6 linked regions of the Macaca mulatta genome follow. The protein of the gene in region 2 interacts with the protein of the main gene of each other region in a pairwise test. Links are inferred from orthologs where the notes say so. Each region holds a gene or a part of one and is shown on either strand. Other genes may lie near its edges.

The links.
Region 1: the proteins of HNRNPUL1 (region 2) and WWP2 interact in binary tests that used the Homo sapiens proteins (3 or more experiments, as listed by UniProt). The link is inferred for Macaca mulatta from reciprocal best matches to the Homo sapiens genes HNRNPUL1 and WWP2.
Region 3: the proteins of HNRNPUL1 (region 2) and HNRNPF interact in a two-hybrid assay, tested with the Homo sapiens proteins (3 studies listed by BioGRID and IntAct). The link is inferred for Macaca mulatta from reciprocal best matches to the Homo sapiens genes HNRNPUL1 and HNRNPF.
Region 4: the proteins of HNRNPUL1 (region 2) and DZIP3 interact in binary tests that used the Homo sapiens proteins (3 or more experiments, as listed by UniProt). The link is inferred for Macaca mulatta from reciprocal best matches to the Homo sapiens genes HNRNPUL1 and DZIP3.
Region 5: the proteins of HNRNPUL1 (region 2) and PRPF40A interact in a two-hybrid assay, tested with the Homo sapiens proteins (2 studies listed by BioGRID and IntAct). The link is inferred for Macaca mulatta from reciprocal best matches to the Homo sapiens genes HNRNPUL1 and PRPF40A.
Region 6: the proteins of HNRNPUL1 (region 2) and PRMT2 interact in a two-hybrid assay, tested with the Homo sapiens proteins (2 studies listed by BioGRID and IntAct). The link is inferred for Macaca mulatta from reciprocal best matches to the Homo sapiens genes HNRNPUL1 and PRMT2.

Annotation. Positions count from the first base shown.
Region 1 is NC_133425.1:65,382,093-65,386,236, reverse strand, and holds the start of WWP2 (NEDD4-like E3 ubiquitin-protein ligase WWP2), read right to left. Parts: upstream 2,801-4,144; 5' UTR 2,723-2,800; intron 1-2,722. UniProt on the Homo sapiens protein: E3 ubiquitin-protein ligase which accepts ubiquitin from an E2 ubiquitin-conjugating enzyme in the form of a thioester and then directly transfers the ubiquitin to targeted substrates.
Region 2 is NC_133424.1:52,406,476-52,410,471, reverse strand, and holds the start of HNRNPUL1 (heterogeneous nuclear ribonucleoprotein U-like protein 1), read right to left. Parts: upstream 2,801-3,996; 5' UTR 2,715-2,800; coding exon 2,420-2,714; intron 2,246-2,419; exon of another isoform or gene 2,052-2,245; intron 1-2,051.
Region 3 is NC_133414.1:55,882,615-55,886,618, reverse strand, and holds the start of HNRNPF (heterogeneous nuclear ribonucleoprotein F), read left to right. Parts: upstream 1-1,204; 5' UTR 1,205-1,281; intron 1,282-4,004.
Region 4 is NC_133407.1:175,012,729-175,016,228, reverse strand, and holds part of DZIP3 (E3 ubiquitin-protein ligase DZIP3), read left to right. Parts: intron 1-332; coding exon 333-409; intron 410-2,041; coding exon 2,042-2,659; intron 2,660-3,500. UniProt on the Homo sapiens protein: E3 Ubiquitin ligase proteins mediate ubiquitination and subsequent proteasomal degradation of target proteins.
Region 5 is NC_133417.1:57,628,312-57,632,555, forward strand, and holds the start of PRPF40A (pre-mRNA-processing factor 40 homolog A), read right to left. Parts: upstream 2,801-4,244; 5' UTR 2,779-2,800; coding exon 2,569-2,778; intron 1,472-2,568; coding exon 1,340-1,471; intron 1-1,339. Other genes in the region: ARL6IP6 (ADP-ribosylation factor-like protein 6-interacting protein 6), read left to right, coding at 3,965-4,244.
Region 6 is NC_133408.1:939,095-942,594, forward strand, and holds part of PRMT2 (protein arginine N-methyltransferase 2), read right to left. Parts: intron 2,806-3,500; coding exon 2,644-2,805; intron 1,699-2,643; coding exon 1,534-1,698; intron 1-1,533. UniProt on the Homo sapiens protein: Arginine methyltransferase that methylates the guanidino nitrogens of arginyl residues in proteins such as STAT3, FBL, histone H4. Acts as a coactivator (with NCOA2) of the androgen receptor (AR)-mediated transactivation.

The sequences.
Region 1 (4,144 bases), on a different chromosome or scaffold from region 2:
ATCCTCCCACCTCAGCCTCCTGAGTAGCCAGGCGGGCGCCACTGCACCTGGCTAATTTTTGTATTTTTTGTAGAGACAGGGTTTCGCCATGTTGCCCAGGCTTGTCCCAAGTTCCTGGGCTCAAGAAATCCATCCACCTTGGCCTCCCGAAGTGCTGGAATTATAGGCATGAGCCACCATGTCCAACCAACTATTTATAATTATGTTGTACTTAACCCGATAAATCCAAAATGTTACCATACATGTTTACACATATTATATGATCATTTACTACAACATAAAAGGTATCAGTGAGACATTTTACTTTTTCTTCATGCTAAGTCTTCAAAATCCAGAATGTATTTTATGCTCACAGCATAGCTGCTGTGCTCAACAGCCCCATGTGGCTAGTGTACACCATACTGAATTGTACAACAATGCTTAGCAAAGACAGAGGGGGTACTTATAAATATTCATTGAAAGAAAGAATGTTTTCCCAGGAAGAGGAAGCTATGGTAGAGTACAGCATTTTCTAAACTTCATTTACTCACATTCTACATTCACAACTTTTTCTGTGTGATCTTTTTCCTTAAAATGTCACACTTTTTATTCCTGAAAAATTATGTAAAACTTTCAGTTGGGCATGGTGGCTTACGTCTGTAATTGCAACACTTTGAGAGGCCGAGGTGGGAAGACTGCTTGAGCCCAGGAGTTTGAAAACAGCCTGGGCAACATAGCAAAACCTTTGTCTCTACAAAAATTAGCCAGGCGAGGTGGCACCCACCTGTTGTCCCAGCTGTTTGGGAGGCTGACATGGGAGGATCACCCGAGCCCGGGCAGGTCAAGGTTACAGTGAGCAGTGATCGTGCCACTGCACTCCAGCCTGGGCAACAGAGTGAGACCCTGTCTCAAAATAAAATAAAAATAAATTTTTCCATTGTGTCAATAAATGAAAAAGAATGGGTCTAAGGATTAAGGGCCTGGGCTTGAGTGCCTACTCATTTACTAGCTCTGGGATCTAAAGTAAAGACTTCACTAAGCCTCAGTCTCTTCATCTGTGATACAGGGACAATACTGACCACCCCAATTTCACAGGGAAGGTTAAGTGAGATGTTGGTATATGCTCTTTGCAAATGCGAAAGTAATCATGAAGTGAAAGAGACTGAGAAGCCAATCCAAGTCTTTCTCTCGAGCCTATTTTCATATGGACCAGTAACACAGATAATCACAAGCTTGTCTGACAAGAGAAAGAGTAGAAGACTTGGGTTCAAACCCCTTATCACCACTTATGCCAGTGTGACTTTTAGAAATGCATTTATTCACCAAATATTTATCAAGTGCCCACAACATACCAGGCACTAGGCTAGGAGCCAAAGAAAATATGAAACCTGCCCTTGAAGGATTTGCAATCTAGCAGGAAGAAAAGAGGCCAGCAAACAAGAAACACCAATAAATTGTTTTAAAAAATCAAATCGTCTCTCTTAAGTCTGTTTGTTCCTTGTGAAATGAGAATAACACCTTCCCAACCTCACTCATAGAAGCTGCTACAAAAACTAATTTTTAAATGTTTGTCAAATAACTCCAAAAACTTGAACTCATAATACATTAGGAAAGTACTTTTTCCTACTTGTAACCCAAAACGACGCTGGCTGCTGTGAATGTCCAGTTTGAACATTTGTTCCAGTTACACTGCACTCATGAAACTCCCTTCGCTTCTGCAAATTTTAGTAAACATGAGAAACAGGAGGATGAACAGGCTTTAACACAAGTATTTAATCTCAAAATCATGATCCAGGTCACAGTTCTAAGGAACATAACACAGACCTCTCAGTCACCCTACCTAGTTACAGTTCATCAAGATAAGCAGTCACACGCTAAGGGAAACTGAATAATTTAAACGGAAGAAAGAGGAAAAGTCATAAAGCAGTCTAGGTAGACACTCCTCTGTCCAAGATTTCAGCAGTCACTATGTTGCTGAGGTAACGCTGGGCTAGGTCAACAGTGTAAGCTAAAAGCCATGTTATGGGCAGAGCAAAGTGCGCACACTTCTTTTTTTAATTTATTTTCTTTTTTTGTTTTTTAAAGCCTCGATGATGGCCTGTTCAGGGAAAATCTCAAAGAAAAATGAGCCGAAGGGCTAGGCTCCCAAGAAGTGGAAACCCTACCCACGCAGGACTAAGTGGGCGCGAGGAAAGCAAGCGACCAGGATTCTGTGATCCCTCCTGAAGTTTAAAAACTGAATGGGACCGTCATCAAAGTCTTGGCAACAATCATTTCCAAAGAGTAAGGAAGGGAGAAACTCTCAGAGGGGGTCCAGGCAGCATCTTCTTCCCTCTGGCTCCACACCATAAACCCATTCTCAGGTACCCACTTCCAGCTCAGTTCCAAGTCGCCCCTTCCCCTGGTCCCGATCCCTCCACAAAGATCGCTCCTCTCCATGCCTGGGCACCTAAGCTCCTCTCCCCTTCCGGGAGGACTCGCTCCAGCTGCACCCTTGGCTGCCCGGGCGACCATCTGGGAGCAGCCCCCGCGCGGGCCGCGGCGCGCCCACCCCGCTCGGGCGGGAGCCGGGACACCCCTCCTCGGAGGCCGGAACCGCCGCGCCAGGCCCCTCCCACAGGAAGCCGCCGCCCCCCGGCGCCCGGGCCGCGCCGCCCCCGGCCCACCCCGCGCCGCCCGCCGCCCCCGGCCCGCCCCGCGCAGGCAGTCAGCCCGCCGCGCCCCCCGCGCCGGCGCTAGCTACCTGCCGTGGCCACAGAAGCGGCGCCCAACTCCTCTCCTACTTCCGCCTTCCACCGCCCGCACTCGGGCCGGGTCACGTGACCGCGCGCGGTCACCTGACCCGGAAGAGGCTGGCCAGGCTCGCAGGTGCGGGCAACCTAGGCCTGGCCTGGGCACTTATGGCCTCGAGGAGGCATTTTTAGCGTCTTTGCATTTGAAAGTGGAAGGGCTTTCTGCTCACCGGATGGTCCCGGGCAGTCAAATAAATTGAGGACTCACTGAGTGCCATTTACTCTGCCCATCAACCTTATGGAGGCAGGGGCAGGTACTAGCCCCATTTTACAGGTGAAACGAGACCTTCAGTCTATTAAGTCAACAAATACTTAATTGAGCTCTTTAGTAGGGTTGCCAGATAAAGTACAGGACACCCACTTAAATTTGAATTTCAGATAAACAGCAGTGTAATATGTATGTCCCAAGTACAGAATGGGATATATTTATACTAAAAAAGTATTTGTTGATTATCTGAAGATCAAATTGAATTGAGTATCTGTATTTCTATTTCCTGGCAACCTTATGCCTATTATGTGCAGGCACTGCTCTAAGATCCAGAACCACAAACATCTCCGCCTTGTGACGTAAAAGTACAAAAGCTTAAAAACTCCTGCTTGGATCCATAAAACCCCCCTCCACACTAATCCAATCTCATTCCCTTAATCTACAGGGCACAGACAGCTTAACGAATTACAATCCAGGTAAGTAGGTAGATAGGTAGGTAGGTAGGTAGGTAGGTAGGTAGGTAGGTAGGTAGGTAGGTAGGTAGATGGATGATAGGCATTTTTTTTTTTTTTTTTTAATTGAGATGGAGTCTCGCTCTTTCGCCAAGGCTGGAGTGCAGTGGTGCTATCTCAGCTGACTGCAACCTCCGCCTTCCCGGTTCATGGGATTCTCCTGCCTCATCCTCCCCAGTAGCTGGGATTACAGGCATGTACCACCATGCCTGGATAACTTTTGCATTTTTCATAGAGACAGGGTTTCCACATGTTGACCAGTCTGGTCTCAAACTCCTGACTTCAAATGATCCGCCCGCCTTGGCCTCCCAAAGTGCTGGGATTACAGACATGAACCACCACGCCTGGCAGAGAAGTTTTTCTTTAAGAGATGGGTCTGGATAGGTTGCTTCGGCTGGGCTCGAACTCCCAGCTTCAAGCAGTCTTCTTGCTTCAGCCTCCCAAGTTGCTGAGACTACAGGTGAATGCCGCTGTGCCTGCCCAATAACTATTTATTTATTTATTTATTTGAGACAGAGTTTCACTCTTGTAGCCCAGGCAGGAGTGCAGTGGCTTGATCTCAGCTCACTGCAACCTCTGCCTCCCAGGTTCAAGCAATTCTCCTGCCTCAGCCTCCCCAGTAGCTGGGACTACAGGCACCCACCACCACACCT
Region 2 (3,996 bases):
CGATTTCATTCATAACACCCCCGGGGGCTAGAGCGAACACACTATTTGTTGATTAACCCCATTTTACACGTAAGGAAACCAGGCTCACAGAGATGAAGTGACTTGCCAATATCTTTAAGCCAGATTTGAAACGAAGTCTGTCTGAGTCTAGAATCTACGCTCCAAAGCACCTAATTCGCTTTCCTCTCAGAGACGACTCTCTGGCCAGACCACCAGGTAACTACTACCCCACTACCCTTTCTTGCTAGGCATTCCTGCCACGGTCCCTCCTGCTCTAGACACACACACACAGGCCCACTCCTTTCTTCACAAGTCTCTGCAATGGGAAGTTCTCTTTCCAGCACCTGGATCCTAGATAATCTCTAGGCCATTGCCTATCCCAAATCCACACTCGAGTTATCTCCCTCCGGGAAACTCTATCTCTTATGAACAAGTATCCAATGCCAATCCCAAATCTTGTCTCCACTGTTACCTCATTTCTGTCCTCATTCCCTTAGCCCCAAGTCCCATGGTGCCCTCTTTTCGGAAAAACTCCACAAATTCTTACGCCAGAATCCCTTCTACTTACTCCTTAACCTTTCCAGTCCCCCCATTTCCCAGTCCTACTAGAAACCTGCCCTGAGGCCTGGTGCAGTGATTCATGCCTGTAATCCCAGCACTTCAGGAGGCTGAGGTGAGCAGATCACTTGAACCCAGGAGTTCAAGACCAGCCTGGGCAACATAGCGAGACCCCATCTGTATTTTTAAAAAAGAGAAAGAAAGCAAGCTCCTTTTCCTTTTTTGAGACAAAGTTTCACTCTTGTTGCCCAGGCTGGAGTGTAATGGCATAATCTCGGCTGACCACAACCTCCCCCTCCCAGGTTCAAGCGATTCTTCTGCCTCAGCCTCCCAAGTAGCTGGGACTACAGGCGCCCACCACCACGCCCGGCTAATTTTTGTATTTTTAGTAGAGACGGGTGATGGGGTTTCACTATGTTGGCCCGGCTGGTCTTGAACTCCTGACCTTGTGATCCGCCCGCCTCGGCCTCCCAAAGTGCTGGGATTACAGGCGTGAGCCACTGCACCCGGCCCGAAAGTTGCTTTTTTCTAACTGAAGATTCACTCCGTCCTATACCAGGGTTTCCTCTCCTCAGACAACCGCAGATCTACCCGAACCCATTCCCAGAGTCACACCTCCTGGCTGATGCAGAGTTCTGTGCTTCCCGCTGAAGGCCCCCACTCCCTGGGTACACAAATAACTGCTTCTGGGAACCGACCATATCTCTGGGAGACGCTCAGGTCCAGAAACATTCCCCACACTCCACTCTGAGGCCTCCAGTGAAGTCAACAGGTTTTCTTTCTCTTTGCTCCCTACAGCCTCCCCCCTCCCCATATTCGCTAAGCCAGATACATACTCCTTCTGTGCTGGACACAGGATCCTCTGTCTCCTGCCACATATTTCATCCACTTGGAATGTTACCAACTCATCTGCCCCCATCCCACCCGCAGCTACCCCGTTCTCCAAAAAGCCCACAGTTAGCTCTAGACCATTCAGCAGCAGCCTCAGAGTTATTTGTCCTCAGTCTTCTTAGCTCTAGACCCCCAGATCCTTTGTTGAGGGAAAAATCCTCTCCCCCTCCAGCCTCTGGACACCAGGGCTCCCTACACCTCTTCTAGAAGCCAACCAGAAAGTCCCCAGATCTCCCAGCACCAAATGTCCAGGCTGTGCCTGCTTCAAGGGTGGCCTTCCAGCCCCGGAAGAGAGATGGGGGTGCCCCCTCGTTCAATCTCCCGCAGCCCCTAAATGCTCACCAGCCAAACTCCAAAGCACTGAGTCCATTAGACCCTCCCCAGCCACAGACACCAGCGCCTCCACCTCACCCACCCACCCCCGAAGCAAATAGGAGAACTCCCAGGATCGCATCCAGCGGCATACTCCAGGATTCTGCTTCCTCAAAACTCTCGCAGCCCCGCACACCTGGACATTCTTTCCCCACCCTGGAAACACGGCTCCCCACCCCGCAGCCCACACGCTGGGCTGGCCAGGCCGCCAAGCCCAAGGAGCTCCGAACCCCAAGATCTCCATTTTCGAGACCCTCCCAACCCAAATGGAAAACCTCTTGTTCTTCCGACTCTCTTCGGCTCCAGAAACCAGTTTCCGGTCTCCGATCCCTACGGTAAGGAATCCTCCCCGCCACCCCCGTCCCTCACCTCCGAAACCCAGAGGCCCCTCCCCCAGTGTGCCCCCTGCACCGAGCGTCTGGATCCACCCTCCGGTCGTGCCGGGGCCCTTGTCCCCAGATCCTTTTCGGCGGCGGGTAGCGGGATCCCCCGATCCTCAGGTCGTCTCCCCGACCTCAGGCGCTGGACTCCCGCGTCCCACAGCCCTTTCCTCGGCCCAGGCTCCGGGCTCCCCGGCCCCCGCCCCGCGCACTCTCACAATGTCCGTCCGGCCCCGAGTAGCCGCCGGGCTCCGCGTGCGGCTGCAGCCCGGGCGGCGGTGGCTGCGCGGTCCCCTCCAGCTCGGAGCCCCCCTCGGTCTCGACCTCCTCGTTGATGTGCCCGGGTCGCCCCGGTTCGTCGTCGGCCTCGAGCTCCCGCTCGTCGTCAGGCTCCTCGGCCTCCAACGCTGCCTGCAGCCGCTCAGCAAGCTCGGCCTTGAGGCCTCGAGTGTCCAGGCCGCGGCGCTGCAGCTCCTCGCGAAGTTCGTTCACCTTCAGACGGCGCACATCCATGGCCCGGGCCCCCGGGGTGGCCCCCGAGCCCGGCCCGGCCTCCCAGGGCTCTGTCCCCCTTAAACCTTTCCTGTCAGGAGGCGAAGGGGGAAAGGGGGGGGGCCCACTCCAATGGCGGCGGCGGCTCAAAATGGCCGCCGCCACCGCCTCCCCCTTCACCCGTGCCTCGTCCGATGTAATACGAGTGCCAATTGGTCAGTGCATGGGGCAACGGGCGCGGGCCCGGAAACCTAGCCAATCAGAGTGCGGTTTTCAAAACAACGGCAACGAGAAGGCCTACGAGCTACCGGGTAGGAAGCGTTGGCCTACGTCGAAGCCGAGGCCGGAGCGGAGGGCGGGAAAAGGCAGGAGGCGGAGCGTGCGCTGATTGGGTAGCTCTCGCGCGCCGGCTGCAGTAAAGCCCAATGAAAATAAGGGAGTAACCCTTTGGACCAATCAGCGGTGAGATCTCAGAATGAGCGTCCGACGGCCTTTCCTGCGCAGTCCTTTCATCAAACTAAGTGTCTCTGTAACACACATTCCGATTGGTGTATATCTCCCGCCCCTTGAGGAGTCCGAGCGGGTAAAACCACTAGAACCAATCAAATGGAGGGTCGTCAGAAACCCCTCCTTCCTGTTGCCTTTAAGAAACCGGAAAGAGATGAATTCACCAGGGGCCCGCCCCTTGCCGTTAGGGCGGTTTCAAAACAATCTGCCCACCAATCGCAGTTATTGTCTTAGCTCACTAAAGCGTAGAGATGGCTCGTTTTAGGAAAAATGCCCCAGATTGGCCGTGCTTCAGAGGACTGCCTCACAAATTTCGCTGTAGGAGGAGGTATACGAAATAGATATTAAGTGGATATACAGTTCGTAATCTGGAAGGAACCCAGTTGCCTTTAGTAAAAGCAAAATTTTGACTTTAGAGAGTCCCGAAGGTTTGACTATAGAGACTAGACTAACAACGGGAGGCTAGTTGTAAAGGACACGGCCTCCCCTTCCCTTGGGTAGTCCGCGGCGGCCTTGCTCTATGGTCGGTGCCTGACGTGGAACGGGCGCTCTGCACGCGACCATAGAGCCTTCCCCTTACGAAAGACATCCAGAAGTTCACCGACCGCCCTCTCCAATCCTCTAATCGGCTGTTCCCGTAAATCGGGCTGTCTGGCGTCTGTATTGACAAGCTCAAACCCACGGATCCGTCATTAACCTTCGCGCTCATGAATACAAAAGCCACAGAGCTTCCCTGTGTCTAATGCTGCACCACCTGTCGCCTCTAACTCAGAAAACAAAACTCGAGTAAGACGCA
Region 3 (4,004 bases), on a different chromosome or scaffold from region 2:
CGCCGGGAGCAGGAGGGCTTCCGGCAAAGCCGCGTGCTCTCGTCGGGCAGGCGCTAAGGACTGGGGCCGGCAGCGCGCCTGACCCCGCCCCTCGTAGGCCCCGCCCCGTGCTCGCAGCCGGGGGTTTCCATGGTGATGGTCAACAAGCCTCAACTGCCTCTGCTACAACTGCCAAGTTCCCCGCGTCCCACCCTCCTCTAGGTGCTCCGAGGGACCACCGGGGTGCCTGATGTGAGAGCGGGAGCGTAGAGACTCGGAGGCCGAGGTGAGGGGTGGCCGAAGTCTCCGACGTCGAAGGCCGCACACCCGTGACCGAGCGGGGACCGGGTCCCCCTGGGGGTGTGGACAGTGGGCCTGGGATTTGAGATTGGGGAGACCTTCCGAAGTCCAGGGCCCCGTACCCGGACTACCTGGGGTTTGGGCCTATTGGGGTGGGTGGGGCTGGGGCTGGGATTTGGGATCAGGGAGGAGAGATCTGAGTTTAAGCGCCACGCATCTGGGACCGATCGAGGACTGCACATAATGAGGGGCCGCGGCGCTGAGATTTGGGGGACGGATTCGAGGTCGAGGGGCCGGTACGTGGGACCGACGAGAACTGGACCCCCTGGGATCGGGAGACGCAGTGTCGGAGGTCGAGAGCCGCACGCCCAGATAGTGGTCCCACGCGGTGAGCACCGCGGGCTGAGATTTTGGAGTCAGGGGCTGCCGGGAAGACACGGCCGGCCGGTGCGTTAGTTCAGCCTCCTGGTCGGGCGCTGGCGACCACCGGAGGGCTCTGAAAGTGAGAACAGGCCTGGCTCAGTGGGAGGCCCAGCCGGGAGGATCTCTTGAGCCCAAGAGTTCCCGACAAGCCTGGGCAACATAGTGAAACTGTCTTTGCTAAAAAGTTAAAAAAAAAAAAATAGAAAGCCACGTGTGGTGGCGCGCGCCTGTTGTCCCAGCTACTCGAGAGGCTGAGGCGGGAGAGTTGCTTGCTCTGAGGAGGTCAAGGCTGCAGTGACAGTGACTGTGCCACTGCATTCCAGCCTGGCCGATGGGAGTGAGACCTTGTCTCAGAAGTAATAACAGTAGTAATAATACCTGAATAAAATGAAAGCCGCGCGCTCACGTGGCTGTAGGCGCCTGAGAGTTGCACAAGACTTCCTTGTGGGGAGTTGGCTCCGCCCTCCTCCCACGCCCGGTTCCCGGAGCCTTAGCTCTCTGCCCTGGGCCCATTTTCTTCCTCGGCGGCGCCGCGTGTCCTCGTAGCGCGGTCTCTGTGTTGGTCTCCTGCTCCTAGAGGTACCGTGTTTGTATCTGGGGTGAAAATCTGACTCGTGCGCGCTCTTCGGCTTAGTCGTCTTTTTTTTTTTCCCTTCTGCTTGTGTGTATGAAGCATTTTCGTCGATTCCGCCCTGCTCCTAGGAAACTTGAGGACGGGGCCCGGCTCCTGCTGCGCCGGCTGCCCCGCTCCCCCAACCGCAGAGTCGTGGACCAGGGTTTTGAGGAGCAGGGCACCCGACTCGCCCTCCCCGCCAGACCGCCCAGGTCGCGGGGACCCCTCCCGCTAGGTGCCTGGGATCCCCGCTCGGCTCCGCGTGTGTCCCGGCTGGAGGGTGGAAGGAGAGCCGAGCTCGGCCATTGCCCGCGGGGCGCCCTTCGCTGCGGCTTTTCGGTCTCCGAGCGGCCCGGGGACGAGCTAACGCGCCTCTTTAGTTTTCGAAACTGCTTGCGGGCGCTGGGGGCTCGGGCCGGCCATCTGCGTGGCGGGACAGGAGGCGCGCGCTGGCGGCTGCGCGCGAAGGGCAACGGGCGGCGACGGCGGCTTCCCGGAACCGCGCGGGGCGGGCGCTGCGCCGGGGTCAGGGCCACAGCCTCAGGCGGCAGGGAGTTCTGAAAGTGTTGTCTTCAGTCGTTCCTTTCAAAAAGTCATCTTAATTCTTCCAAAAATATACACATATAATTCTTTCTACTTATATTTTTAAAAGTTAGATACGTGGTTGTCTCTGAATTCCTAGTAAGATAAAAATTCATTGGGTTCTCTAGGTAGGTGAAAGATATCTTAAGTGCTATCCCTGAAAAGTGACTCGTTGCTTTTACAGAATTTATAAAATAAGACATTACTACTTTAATGAATGTAAAGAGAGAGATTGCTTTATTCCTAAGCAAAAAGATCTTTTGCCTTGTAGGTATTACATTCCGGTGTGCATTCTGTAGATTAGAGTCACTGCCGGCCGGGCGAGGTGGCTCACGCCTGTAATCCCAGCATTTAGGGAGGCCGAGGTGTGGGAGAATCGCTTGGGCGTCAGAGACCGACCCCGTCTCTATAAAATGATATATATATTATATATATTATTTTTTGAGACAGGGTCTCACTTTGTTGCCCAGGCTGTGTGATCTCGGCTGGCTGCCGAGATCCTCCTGTGCTCAAGGGGTCCTCCCACCTCAGCCGCCGAGTATCTGGGACCACGGGCATTCTCCAGCACGCCTGGCAAATTTTTGTATTTTTTGTAGAGATGGGGTCTCCTTGTGTTGCCCAGATTGATTTTCAAACTTTTGTGTTCAAGCGATTCTCACGCCTCTGCCTCCCAAAGTGCTGGGATTACAGGCGTGAGCCATCATGCCTGGCCACTTTTTTGTAAACTGTGAAGTTTTCTGTTAAGGGTAGCGTTACAAAGCTTTATTCAGGTAAAAATTGCAATTTATTTAAGGGAAAATAGTGAGTAAATAAAGTTACTTCTCCCACGTGGCCAGAACCTTGGAAAGTCTGGAGGCAAATGAGAGCCTAGTGCGGGTAGATGCCTGCAGGGGCTGCAGAAATGTGACAGGCCCTTTCCGTGGAGGTGACTTCTCTAATTCCCCTCCTCCACTGAGCTCTGGTTCTCTGCTCTTCGAGAGAACCACATTAGTTGATTCTTACTAGGTCCTAGAAGTTTTATTCCATTTTCTAATTACATTCTCAGGACTACTGTAAAAGGGGTTGCTATTAGCCCCAGATGAGAAAATGGAGGTTGGGAGAAGTCACGTGCCCAGGGACACAATTGGGACTGGGTCCCAAGTTGGACCGGGACACCCCTCCCCTGCCGGGGCCCTTGCCCTGTCTTAGTTCCCCTGAGCTACGGTTCTTTGGAGGGCAACAGGGTGGGCAGAGGGAGAACAGTCAGCCAAGACCACCCTGGGTTATTTTACAGCAAATCCCAGACCAATAAGGTGTTTATTAATAAATAAATCCGCAGTATTTCTAAGGACTTTTAAAATCTAACCATAATACTGCTATCATACCTAAAAATACATTCCAAAATACCAAGTTTCCAGGGTTTAAATGTTTCCGTATTAAATATTTTAAACAACTGGTTGGTTTGAGTCAGGATCCAAAGTCACACCTTATATTTTGTAGATAACTTTTTAAATTCAGAGCAGCACTGGCCAATAGAAGTATAATGTATGCTATAAATGTAATCTTATATTCTTTTTTTTTTTTTTTGAGACGGAGTCTCACTCTGTCGCCCGGGCTGGAGTGCCGTGCGGGTTTACGCCATTCTCCTGCCTCAGCCTCCCGAGTAGCTGGGACTACAGGCACCCGCCACTTTGCCGGGCTAGTATTTTGTGTTTTTTGGTAGAGACAGGGTTTCACTGTGTTAGCCAGAATGGTCTCGATCTCCTGACCTCGTGATCCGCCCGTCTCGGCCTCCCAAAGTGCTGGGATTACAGGCTTGAGCCACCGCGCCCGGCCAATCTTATATTCTCTAGTGGTAAAAGGAAACGTGATTCATTGTATTAATAATTTAACCTAACATATATCCACTATTAAAACACTTTCGTTTCTCCATGATCTTGACTAAAATAATTAAAAACAATCCTGTGAACCTGTCAAAATCCAGTGAGTTTTACACATACACATTTCAGGTGTGGTGAATGGATGCTGTATCAGTGATCATCTAGAAGTTCCCCTTTCTTAAAGGCCCCATTCCCGGTTATATTTGTCGGGTTGTCTTGCAGCATTCCTTCCCCACACTTCGCATTTT
Region 4 (3,500 bases), on a different chromosome or scaffold from region 2:
TGCTTTTTTTTTTTTTTTTTTTTTTGTCTTACAGTGCAAAGCTTTCTTTCCTTTTTTTCTGCTACCACACATCCTTTTTGCAAGGAAGTTTGTAATATGATAACTTTAGTATGAAATCTGGCAATACTGCTTACTTGATAATTCCAATGAAAGTGACAGTGTAGGGTTGTCATTGTTGGTGAGCTCTATTTGTTCATTATTTTTTCTCCTTCTTGAATTATTTCTAGGAGTAGAAGATGAAAATACTTACTTAGCCATGCTCATACTAGAAATCTTGACTGACTTTCACATTGTTTTATTTCCGCTATAACTTAATTTTTTTCCATTTGCAGTTATAAAAAGTTGATATCTCTGAAAATAACTGATACTGATATAAGACCGAAGATCAGTTTAAAATTTAATACAAAAGGTATTATTTTATTTTTATATGCCTTCTGTTGAAAAGTATGTTAAAATTTTTGACTTCTCTGTCAACTTTCATGCCATAAACAACCACGTCTTTACCGTGTTTGTCATTCACTAAGCTTGGGTTTATACGAGCACTTGGTGTAGGCTGGAAATCACAGACAGGAAGATCAGCAGATGTATGGATCTCACATTACCTTGGCATCCTATAGAGAGGCATGCTAGGTCTGGTGCATAACTATGACTATACCGTGGGATTGTGTTCCAGCAGAGGTTTTCTACCAACCCTTCCTTCCCTTGTTGCATTCCTTCTTAATAGAGCAAGCATTAGAGTACCCTTACATGAAAGGAATGAACATTTTGAGTTTAAGGCCAAGTACTCTAAACTTAGCTGCCAGCTTTTTAGGAGTGTGCTAGGAAATATCCTGCCCAGAACCTGGAGACCTTAATTAAGGGACCGTGGGCCCATGGAAGAATAGTTTGGTGGCAGTCTAGCCAACTTTGTATTTGGTTGGTAACCCAAAGAAAGCTCCCTGTGTCATTAGCTTTTTAACTTTGCCTCCACAGTGTATATCGAGTATTTCAAGCAAAAATGTTAATTTAATAAATCTCTTGAAACATAGAATCTTGAAGGATAAAATAAAGCTGCATTTTGTGAGAAACACATATTTTGATATCCATATAACACCAAATGCCGTCATATAACAAATTATTAGTACTTTCTAATTCACCTCAGCCCACTTTTCTCCTTTGAAAGCACTATTAAAACAGGAAAATACCAAATAGTTCAGTTTCATGCCTTATTCCATGTTATTGATGAAATACCTACCTCTCTTTTTTTGAGGGGGTGAGAAGATGAGTTTTATTAGATCAGAATTTCTCAAACATTATACATATATTTGATATATCTGGCAATTTTGTTAAAAGGCAGATTTCAATTCAGTAGGTCTGGAGTGGGGCCTGAGACTGTGCTTTTCTAACAGGCTCTCAGGTGGATGCTTGATGCTACTGGTCTCTGGGCTACCCTTTGAGTAGCAAGGAGCTAGATCTTTTGGCATTTCTTGATATAGATCTGAGCTATCTAGTATAGTAGTCCCTAGCTGTATGTGCCTACTTAAATTTAAATTAATTAAAATTAAATTGAAAATTCAGTTCCTTAGTCACCCAAGCAGCATTTCCAGTGCTCAATGAGTATTAGTGCAAATATAAAACATTTTATCACACGATATTCTGTTGGGCAGTGCTGATTAGGATAAAGTATAATTGTTTATGTAAAGTAGAGTTAAACATTGACAATTAGCATTCTTGGCAAATTTCAGAATTTTTAAAGACCTAATACTGTGATGTCATTTTGTTGCCAAAGATCATTTACTTGAACAAAACCTTGGATGACTGAAAGACTTCTGTGGTGATTAGTCTTTGTTATTACTTTTGCTTGGGAACATTTTTTTTTTAGATGTTTTGACAGAGATAAAGCAGCATGCTAATTGAGCACTGGCTGTGGCAAAGCCCTGTGCAATCCTTCATTGTTTTGGAATAGTTTTTATCCTGCAGGAGCTTAGGATATAATATGAGAGACCAAATAGAAAAAGAGAATTAATGTGGAATGTCTTGACTTCCCAAAATTTATTTTCAGATGAAATGCCTATCTTCAAGCTTGATTATAATTATTTCTATCATCTGCTTCATATAATTATTATTTCTGGTACTGACATTGTTCGGCAAATATTTGATGAGGCTATGCCACCCCCTCTTTTGAAAAAAGAGCTTCTTATACACAAGAATGTGCTGGAATCCTACTATAACCATCTTTGGACCAATCATCCTTTGGGTGGATCATGGCATCTGCTTTATCCTCCAAACAAGGAGTTACCACAATCCAAACAGTTTGACTTATGCCTCCTGTTAGCTCTTATAAAACATTTGAATGTGTTCCCTGCACCCAAAAAAGGATGGAATATGGAACCGCCATCTTCTGACATCTGTAAATCTGCAGACATCCTGCGACTGTGCAAATACAGAGATATCCTCCTTAGTGAGATTTTGATGAATGGTCTCACTGAGTCACAGTTCAGTTCAATTTGGAAAAAAGTTTCAGATATTCTTCTGCGCCTTGGGATGAAGCAAGAGGATATTGACAAAGTGAAGGAGAATCCCATTGAGAATATCTCCCTTGATTACCATCAGCTATCCATCTACCTAGGCATACCAGTACCAGAAATCATACAGAGGATGTTATCCTGCTATCAACAAGGTACTAAGTGATTATTTACTTCAGCCAATAAACTTCCGTTGATTGAATGTCTGCTCTGTGCCAGGCACAGTGCAAAGGGCAAGAGATTCAGTGAGCTCATGGTTTTGGGAAAATAGACTCATCAGGAGGGTAATAGAAATTATAGTGCTAGAGATGTTTCCAGAATACCATGGGAAATCCTAGGCTGAAGGAGTCCAAAAAAGCTTTCTGGAGAGTGTGATTGTTAAAGAACTATTAATGGTGTGCAAAAGTTAGCCAGGTGAAAAAGATTGAGAAGGATGTTTCAGAGGGAGACAAAAATAAACGTATAGAAACATAAAAATATACTGCAGGCAACTAAAAAAGGTTGGCTTTATTGAGATTAGGGGAGAGTTCATAAGGTACATTCAAGAGGATTTTTTTGTCACATTGAGGAGTTTGCATTGTTCAGACAGAAATCGTTGAAGACTTTTAAGTAGAGTTTTATCACATTAAGTGGAGTTTTATTCTCCAAAATTAGTAAAGTCTAAAACCATGACATATAGGTACTGTGTGGTTTCAAAGATGTTCGTTTAGACAGTGTGGATATATGTTTCTTCTACTTTCTAGCAGAACCTTGTTTAGTTTACAATTTTAGCAGCTATTCGTTGGCTGTAGGTAATTTTAAAAATCAAGTAACATTCATGCAAGTGTTTGTATTGGCCATTCCCCAACTTGTCTGTTGATATGGAAAAGACTTCAGACCTCCTCTCCCACATCTCAGGATACCTTCTCAGCTATTCTTTCGGAAAGCAGAGTTCAAGGCATGACAACATCTCTGAAACCCTGCTGTGCTATTCAGGATGACTTCCTGGTCCCAAGT
Region 5 (4,244 bases), on a different chromosome or scaffold from region 2:
GGAAAGAAACTAATTTTAAATAAGAACCAGAGCATTTAAAGAATAAATATTTTTAAAGCTCATTATCTAGTTAGAGCAGCTCTACCAAGAAAACAAGAAGAGCTCCTTGCTGCTTAGAGATGGAAAGAAACAGAAGAGGAATCAAAGTTGTTTCTCCATCACCTAGAGAGTTTTAAAATTTGTGTTATTCTAAAGTCACAGAATAAAAGGCTCTTTTATTTAAAGAACTCCTGCAAGCAGAATCTTTTGGGGCTGGTGTCTTTGAATAAAGGTTTTTTTTTGTTTTTTTTTTAAACAAAATTAAGGGCAACATTCCAAATTAAAAAAAAAAGAGGAAAATCACTTGACATTAAGCCCTTCTACTCTTAAGGTTAAGTAAAAAGAGACAGACACATAGCAAGCTCCTTTTCCCACTGCAATTTCACCAATAACTTTAACCATGAAAGCTTAAACAATTATCAAACAGTACTAATTAGCAAAAGATCACATGAAATTGGCTTCCAAAATATTTTGTTAGCCTAAATTTTTGATGATTTATGGAAATACTCAAATGGAAATAACCCAGCCACCTAAAGATCTATATAGAACTTAACATGGAGCACAAAATTACTCATGGTAACTGAACCTGTTACCTTTCTTAGATGCTTCTCTAGAAACTCAGTTCTACCGAAATCACTGAATCAGCATTAAAACCTTTTGATCCAAATCACTTCTACAAAATGTCCATTTACAATTTATGCTAGAGATGGAAGGGACAGCTCATAAGCAGGAGTGTAGAAGCAATAAGCATTAAAAAAAATAGTGTAAGTGGAAAATGAAGTACCTACTGGCACTGTCCTATGAAGAATCAGAATTATAGAGCACAAACCCCCCACCCTCCCTCACTCTCCTCCAACACACACAGAGGAAGATATTTCAGGAATAAAATTCGCTCTAAACCAAAACAATTGCTATTTTCAGATTCTATTTATTTACATGGTCTACCAAAATCAGTTATGTTGCTGTATCAGATAATATTTACTTTTAGACCATTAACTTCAATTGGCATGGTTGAAAAAATAATCATTAAAAATAAAAGCCTGGACGCACACTTTACTTTTAAATAATAATAAAAAAAAATTCTTAGTTTTGAGGTAATCAGTAAATTTCTCAGGAGACTTTTTCATTACATTCAAATTTCCATTACATTCATGATTCAACATTTGGCTTATTTAAAATTATTCGGGCATAAACTAATCCTTAAACAGCTATAACTATTGACCTAGATTTTGAAATCTTGACAGAATACCTGAGGCAAAAACAAATAAATAAATGCAAAATAAAATAAAAGCATTCTTACTTGTCCCATTGGTGGCCCTCCCATAGGGGGCATCATCTGTGGCATCATTCCATGAGGTACAGGAGGCATATTCGCTCTCTGACCCATAGGGTGCATTCCCATTGGGGCATAATGCATGCCAGGGTGCCCCATCTGAAAAACAGCGAACGTTTTTAAATGAGCAAATAATACTAAACGCTTCTCAAAAATCTCATTTCAACAAATCAGTTATCTGAAGCAACCTAATATTAAGCTTATGCATAATAATGTCACTGGATTAATCTATACCTTGTTTTAAACAAAATGCATTCTGCTAGTATTTAAAACGAGCTTGCAAATTCCGCAACAAAACGGGAAAAGTTAAGATGATTACTGGACAGCTGGATCATAGGTTTTCTCTTTTTTTTAAGCATTGACTTAATCAGCTACTAACTGGCTTGCTAAGCTTGGAGGATACATATTGAATACTAATCTTAAAACTGTTACAGTGAAAACAACAATTCTTCTATTTCATGCAAATATAAAAAATAGCCAGCTATTGTTATTTTATAACACTACTGATTTTAAACTTTAAAATGCTCTATCATATTAACTCAGGTGAAAGTCAGTCTTATAAAACACAAACAGTAGTGCCACCCAGGGACAATTCACTCCTAACAAACTTATTTCCTAACATAACCTTTAAGACAGGTAAAATTCCTTCTGTCAAAAATACATTTTTAACGACTGAGGTTCTGTTACTCACGGACACTAAATGCAAACAACTAATTCATCCCTTTCAACGCAATTTAAAAAGACAACTACTTTCTTTACCGATGAGTCCATTGTTCCATGTTTTAAATTAAAACCAGCTAATTATCTCCTGTCAATTGTCCTAACAGTTCCCCATGCAGACGACCCCACAAGTAATGAAAACAAATTTTGGCAGCCGCTGTTAAAGTCTTACAGAATCAAGCCCCTCCCTCCCCCTTCCAGCTAAATCGGGCCTAAAGCTCCAAGACGCTCACCCCGCCCAAGAGCCAGCACCTTCACCACGCATCTGTCTAGGCCAAGCCTACGGGGTACTTCCAGGGTCTCACATCCTTCTTTGTGCATCCCCACCCTCCACTTCTCTCCCTCACAACATATCCCACCATCTCGAGTTCTTCCTTCGTCCACTCTTATCTTCTTCTCCTTTCGGAGAAAGCTTCCTGTTTCTCTCACTCCGTTTTTCATTGTGCCGCCTTCCCCCTGCCCCACTGATCCCTTACCGAGGGCCGTCTCCTCAGGAAGCCGTCAGCAGAGACCCAAGAGCCGGAGCAGAGGCTTGAGCCGGACAATCTCCGCTCCCCGTCCCCAGGACCCTGCGAGGGAGGATGGCTCTCCATTTCACTCACCATGAGGCCTCCACGTTCAGCTCCCGTCCCCGGCCTCATCGTCGGGCTCAGACTGCTCCGCCGGCGGCCACTGCCGCTACACATACCAACAAGAAGCGATCTGAGTGGCTGGCGCCCACTGGGGCTAAAGGTTAAAGGCTGCCCTGCGCTACGGGGCGGGATCAGCGAGGCCAACAGGCTGACGGGCTTTCCCGCTGTCCAATCAGAATGCGCGGCCGACACGCAACTCTGCGGCGATTCGCCCGCAGCCTCAGCCTCACTCGGCGTCGCCTGCATGGGGCGGGGGGAGGACGGAGGAAGTTTCTGCGCCGAGTCCTCCGTCGGGAAAACTCTACCAACTTCCCCAGGGGAAGGGAAGACAACCGTGTCCCAGCTTCCCGAGCTTAGACCGCCTCACCCCGTAGGGGGTGGGGCAGTGGGGTCTGCCACCTTCCCCCTCCCCGCCCGAGTTACGTACGCCCCACAAACCTGAGGCCGCCAGGGGTAGGGTGGAGGGGGCGGGGGTAAGCAGCCTCTAGTGTTAGCGGTGGCTGGGACCGAATGCGCGCGCGCAGTGCTCGAGGCGGAGGGGAGGGGGCGGGGAAGGCGAAAGGAGGGGTTCCGAGGAGAGGGTTCGAGCTCGGTACGCACCAGGTGGAGAGCGCGCGCCTGGGCGGAGGAGGAAGGAGGCGTGTCGAGTAGCGTGAGGGAAGTTGTGGTACGGGTGGGGAGAACCACACTAAAGGGAGATGGGGTGAGCAGTGAAGGCACCGCCAGAGTACCAGGCAGAGAGCTGCCCTTTCTTAATAGGGGAACCTGGAGAAGAGTGTGAGCGTAGAGGGGAAGAAGGGAGAAGGCAAATAGGTTCGGGAATGTGTCGAAGGCGCGGGAGGGCGCTAGGACCCGGCGTCGAAAAGATGCGGCTTTGGGGCTGTCGGGTCTCGCGCTCCCGTTGGTGACGCGGCAGTGGCGGAGGTGTCCGGCAGGGATGAAGCGCTGCAGGGAGTGGATACTCGGCCGCCTTCGGCCTCCGCCCACTTCTCGCTGCGCGCTTTCCTGCTCCCCCTTCCGGCTACAGCCCTGGGGTCGAGCTCTGGTCCAAGCGCATCCCACCTCGCCTCAGGCCCTACGACTTCCTTTGCAACCCGCCGCCCAACCTTGCTCTCCGTGGTTTACCCCTGGGTTCTGAGGCATGGTGGTAGCGGCCACGGCCGCGGATTGGCTGTTGCGGACCCGGGGCGGGGCAGGTGGGAGAGGCTCATACTCCGCGGGTTTCGCTGTGCTTCGCGCCATGTCGTTAGCGGAGAGCGGGTGGCGGTCGGCTCTGCGGCGCCGCCGTCCCGGGACCCCGGGCCCTGTGGCTGGGCCAACATATTCCTCCTTTACTCAGGGGGACAGTTGGGGTGAAGGCGAAGTCGACGAGGAGGAGGGATGCGACCAAGTGGCCCGCGACCTGCGGGCGGAGTTCTCGGCTGGGGCGTGGTCAGAGCCCAGAAAGGGCTCGCTGCTCCCGCCGGACGGGGACGGGTCGCCTGTCCTGCCAGATAAGCGCAATGGTATCTTTCCCGCGG
Region 6 (3,500 bases), on a different chromosome or scaffold from region 2:
CATGCCAAGCCCCCAACGGCACATCCTGCCTGCTGGCCCTGCTCTGCATCTCCACACCTGCGCCATGCCAAGCCCTGGCTCCTACATCTTGACAGTAAAGCCACAGTCAGTCCTGGAAGTCTGTGCACCTCCCACACAGAGGGGCCTCCCTTCACACAGGCTGTCCCAGGCCTCTGCATGCTGGGGCTGGACCACAGCCAGTCCCTGGCCTCTGGTCCCGGCCACACATACCCAGGGGCCTCCAAAACACAGCCCACCTCTTACTCCATCACTCACACACACCACTGGCACTCCCCTTGGTGTCCAGGATGTGGCACAAAGTCCTCAGACACACAGTACCCTACATCTGGCCTCTGCCTCCCTGATGCAACACAGTCTGGCCAATCCGGCCACTGGGCAGCCCCGGAACACAGCAACATGGTGAACACAGTGGCTACTCCTCTCCCCTCCCTCTGCCCCACGTCCCTCCTGTGTCCCTGTCACCCAACCCAGGGCACAGCCGGACACCGCAGCAGCCAGGCTTCCCCACATCAGTGCCCACACACCCTTGGCCTCACCACAGCCTCACTCCTCTTCTGTCCTCTTTTTGTCCCCGTAGCCAGGCACGAGCTGTCAACAGACACTTATTGAATGGGCACAGCTGTTCAGGGGCAAAGGTGAAAGCCCCTTCAGGGATTGGGAGTGGAGCCCGTTTCTCTAGTGTGTCACCTTATGGCTCCACAGACGTTATTAATAAGCCAAGTCACAGCATGGACATTGAGTCTATTTACATTTATCTTCTGACAACAAAATTTCAACAGGACTAAAAGCCAATGCCATCTGTTACCACGGGAAACCGTTTCCTGGAGAAGCAGCAGCCATATTTCACACTCCTTCACCCAGACCCCATCTTTCTGGGTCTCTACACTGAGACGCAGTTTCAGGTTGGGATGCTCTACTCCGATGTCCTGTGTTCCAGGATGCTGAGCCCAGGAGGAGAGCACCAGGCAGACAGCGTCCAGCCACACTCCTGTCACTTTCCCTCCAAGCAGACAGTGTTTGTGCAGGGCATATTCGCAAGCAACCAGAAAACAGTCCACTTCCACCCACATGTGAAACTCAGGGTGAACGACCCAGGCCAGGCCAGGCACATGCTGGCCCCACAGATGCCCAAGTGGCTTCACAGCATCACTGGGGCCAGTCTAAGGTAAGAAGACCCTGGCCAGGGACGAAGGCCCTACTGGCGTTAAAGAAACAGCCTTACCTGTTAGGCACAGGATTTTTACAGATTCCCGAGAACACAGTTCATGTAAATCACTCATGAAAATGTTACATGAACTTTGACTTAAATTTCTCATAAAGGCATTTTTTAAATCAGGTGAAAATTCAAGACACTGAGCCAATGTGCACACAAGAAATTAATTATACCTCACAATAGGGAAAACATCAAAATGAATCATGCATGACTCTTCAGATCCTGAGGTTGGCCCAGCCGAGCCTGTGCTCAGAAGCCCCCCAGCCCTGGCCCCCAGCTGCCCGCACGCCCCCCCTCACCAGCAGGCAGGTCCCCATCCACTCGGACACCAGCACATCCACCTTCTCGGGCAGTACCACGTCCTCCACCTTCTGTTGGAACACGGTGATGATGTCGGCAAAGCCATTCTGCAGGACCAGCTGCCCCGTGTGCTGTGCCATCTCACTGGCCTCCACCGCATACACCTGCAGCAGCAGAAGCACCGTCAGTGCACGCCCAGCCTCGGCCCGTCATCTACTCTCCTGAGTCACAACCAGCATACGAGAAATGGTCAATGACACAAGAGGGAAGCAGTATTCCAGACAGCAGAGAAAGTGAGGGCTGGGCCACACCTGCCCCTCCAGGGACACCCAGAAAGGAGCCGCCTCTAACCCTCCCGACTGCCCCCACCTCCTGCACAAGACACAGACGCAGGGCTGCAAGTGGGCGGAAGCCTCGCATGCCCGAGTCGGCTGCCACACGCACAGCAATCTTAATCCATGACCAGCACAGCAAGTTCTGAGCACCCAAGTGACAATGCTGGTCTGTGCCACATCTGAGGCCTGTGAGACAGTTTCAAACCCAGGGTCTCAGGGAAGGGTCTGGTGGGAAGTGCCCAAGTGCTGGGCCCTGGGTCCTGCAGAGCCTGGACTTGGGTGGACACTGTGCTGCGACCCCACCCACTGTGTAAGGAGTCTCCAAGGCTGCGGCTCGGCTCAGCTCAGCACAGCACAGATGGCCCAAGAGGAGTGGGGAGGGGGCCCAGCGTGTGCACCCCTCCCATCCCCGTGGGACCATCCATACCCAAGGCCCAGCACAGACATGTGGGTGCACCTGTTTGTCTACTCAACTGAAATAAATGTCTCACAGAACATACCCCGCCCTGTGCAATTCATGGGATATTTTCTATTCTGCTCTATTCCTGTCTGTGCTGTGACTCATTACGTGGGCGCCACAGCCTCTAGCATGCAGTCTCAACACACTGCTGTTTTACCGACCCTGAGCTGCACGTGCAAGGATGCTCACCAACACCACGGAGTCATCAGTGAGCCCTCAACAGCTCAGGGTCACGAGTTAGCACACTCAGAGGCCACCTCGGACATCACCAGCCTTGGCACAAACACCCGGGAAGCGTTCGAGACCCCACTCACCGCTTTAGGCCGCGCATAGTGTGCACAGAAGAGACTGATGATCCCAGTCCCACAGCCCACGTCCAGGATGACTTTATCCGTTAGGGATTCTTTATTCTGCAGGATGACACTGTGGTATTTAGTTGTTCGTGGCTGGTCTGCCAACATTTCCAAGTGGAGTTTCTGGAAGAAATGCACATTCAGAATCACTGCCTGTGACCTAGAGCCATGCCAAGTTCTGGACTGAGATGGAGGGTCAGAGCCACAGCTGATAACCCCTGACCCCGCCACCCCACATCTAAAAATATGAGCAAAACACAAGAGCAACAGTACTGGCTTCTGGAGTCCCTCAGCTCAGCACAGCACGGCCAGGCGAGCAGACAGGCAAGAGGGAGCACTGTGCACACAGGGGTGCAGTGTCGCCCGGACCACTGAGGCTGGAGGGACCACCGCATCCCAACGAGACTCCCCAGGGCCAGGTGTCCGACTACAGAAAACAGCAATACACCGTGAGAGAGGGGCCAGCGTAGGTGGGCAGGGGGTCCCCCAAAGTCCTCTGCACACATGAGCTCACCCCTCCTGTTCTTGGGGAGTGCCCCGAGGGATAAGTGAGAGACCCAGCCTTGTCCTGAGGGAGGAAAATGCCTGAAACCCAAGGACACCTACATGAGAATCAGCCACCCTGAAAGGAGGCAGAGAAAGGCTTGCTCAGGGCAGCCAGCAAAGCCGCGGGCTGGAGGAGAGGCTGCACCCCTCCCACCAGCACTCTCGAGCTGCAGAAGGCCCGGCGTAGAAACAGCATCGCCAGAAAGAAGACAGGCAGCAGCCAGGAGCAGAGCGAGGACCGCGCCCAGACCACACCAGCAGACAGGAGCCTG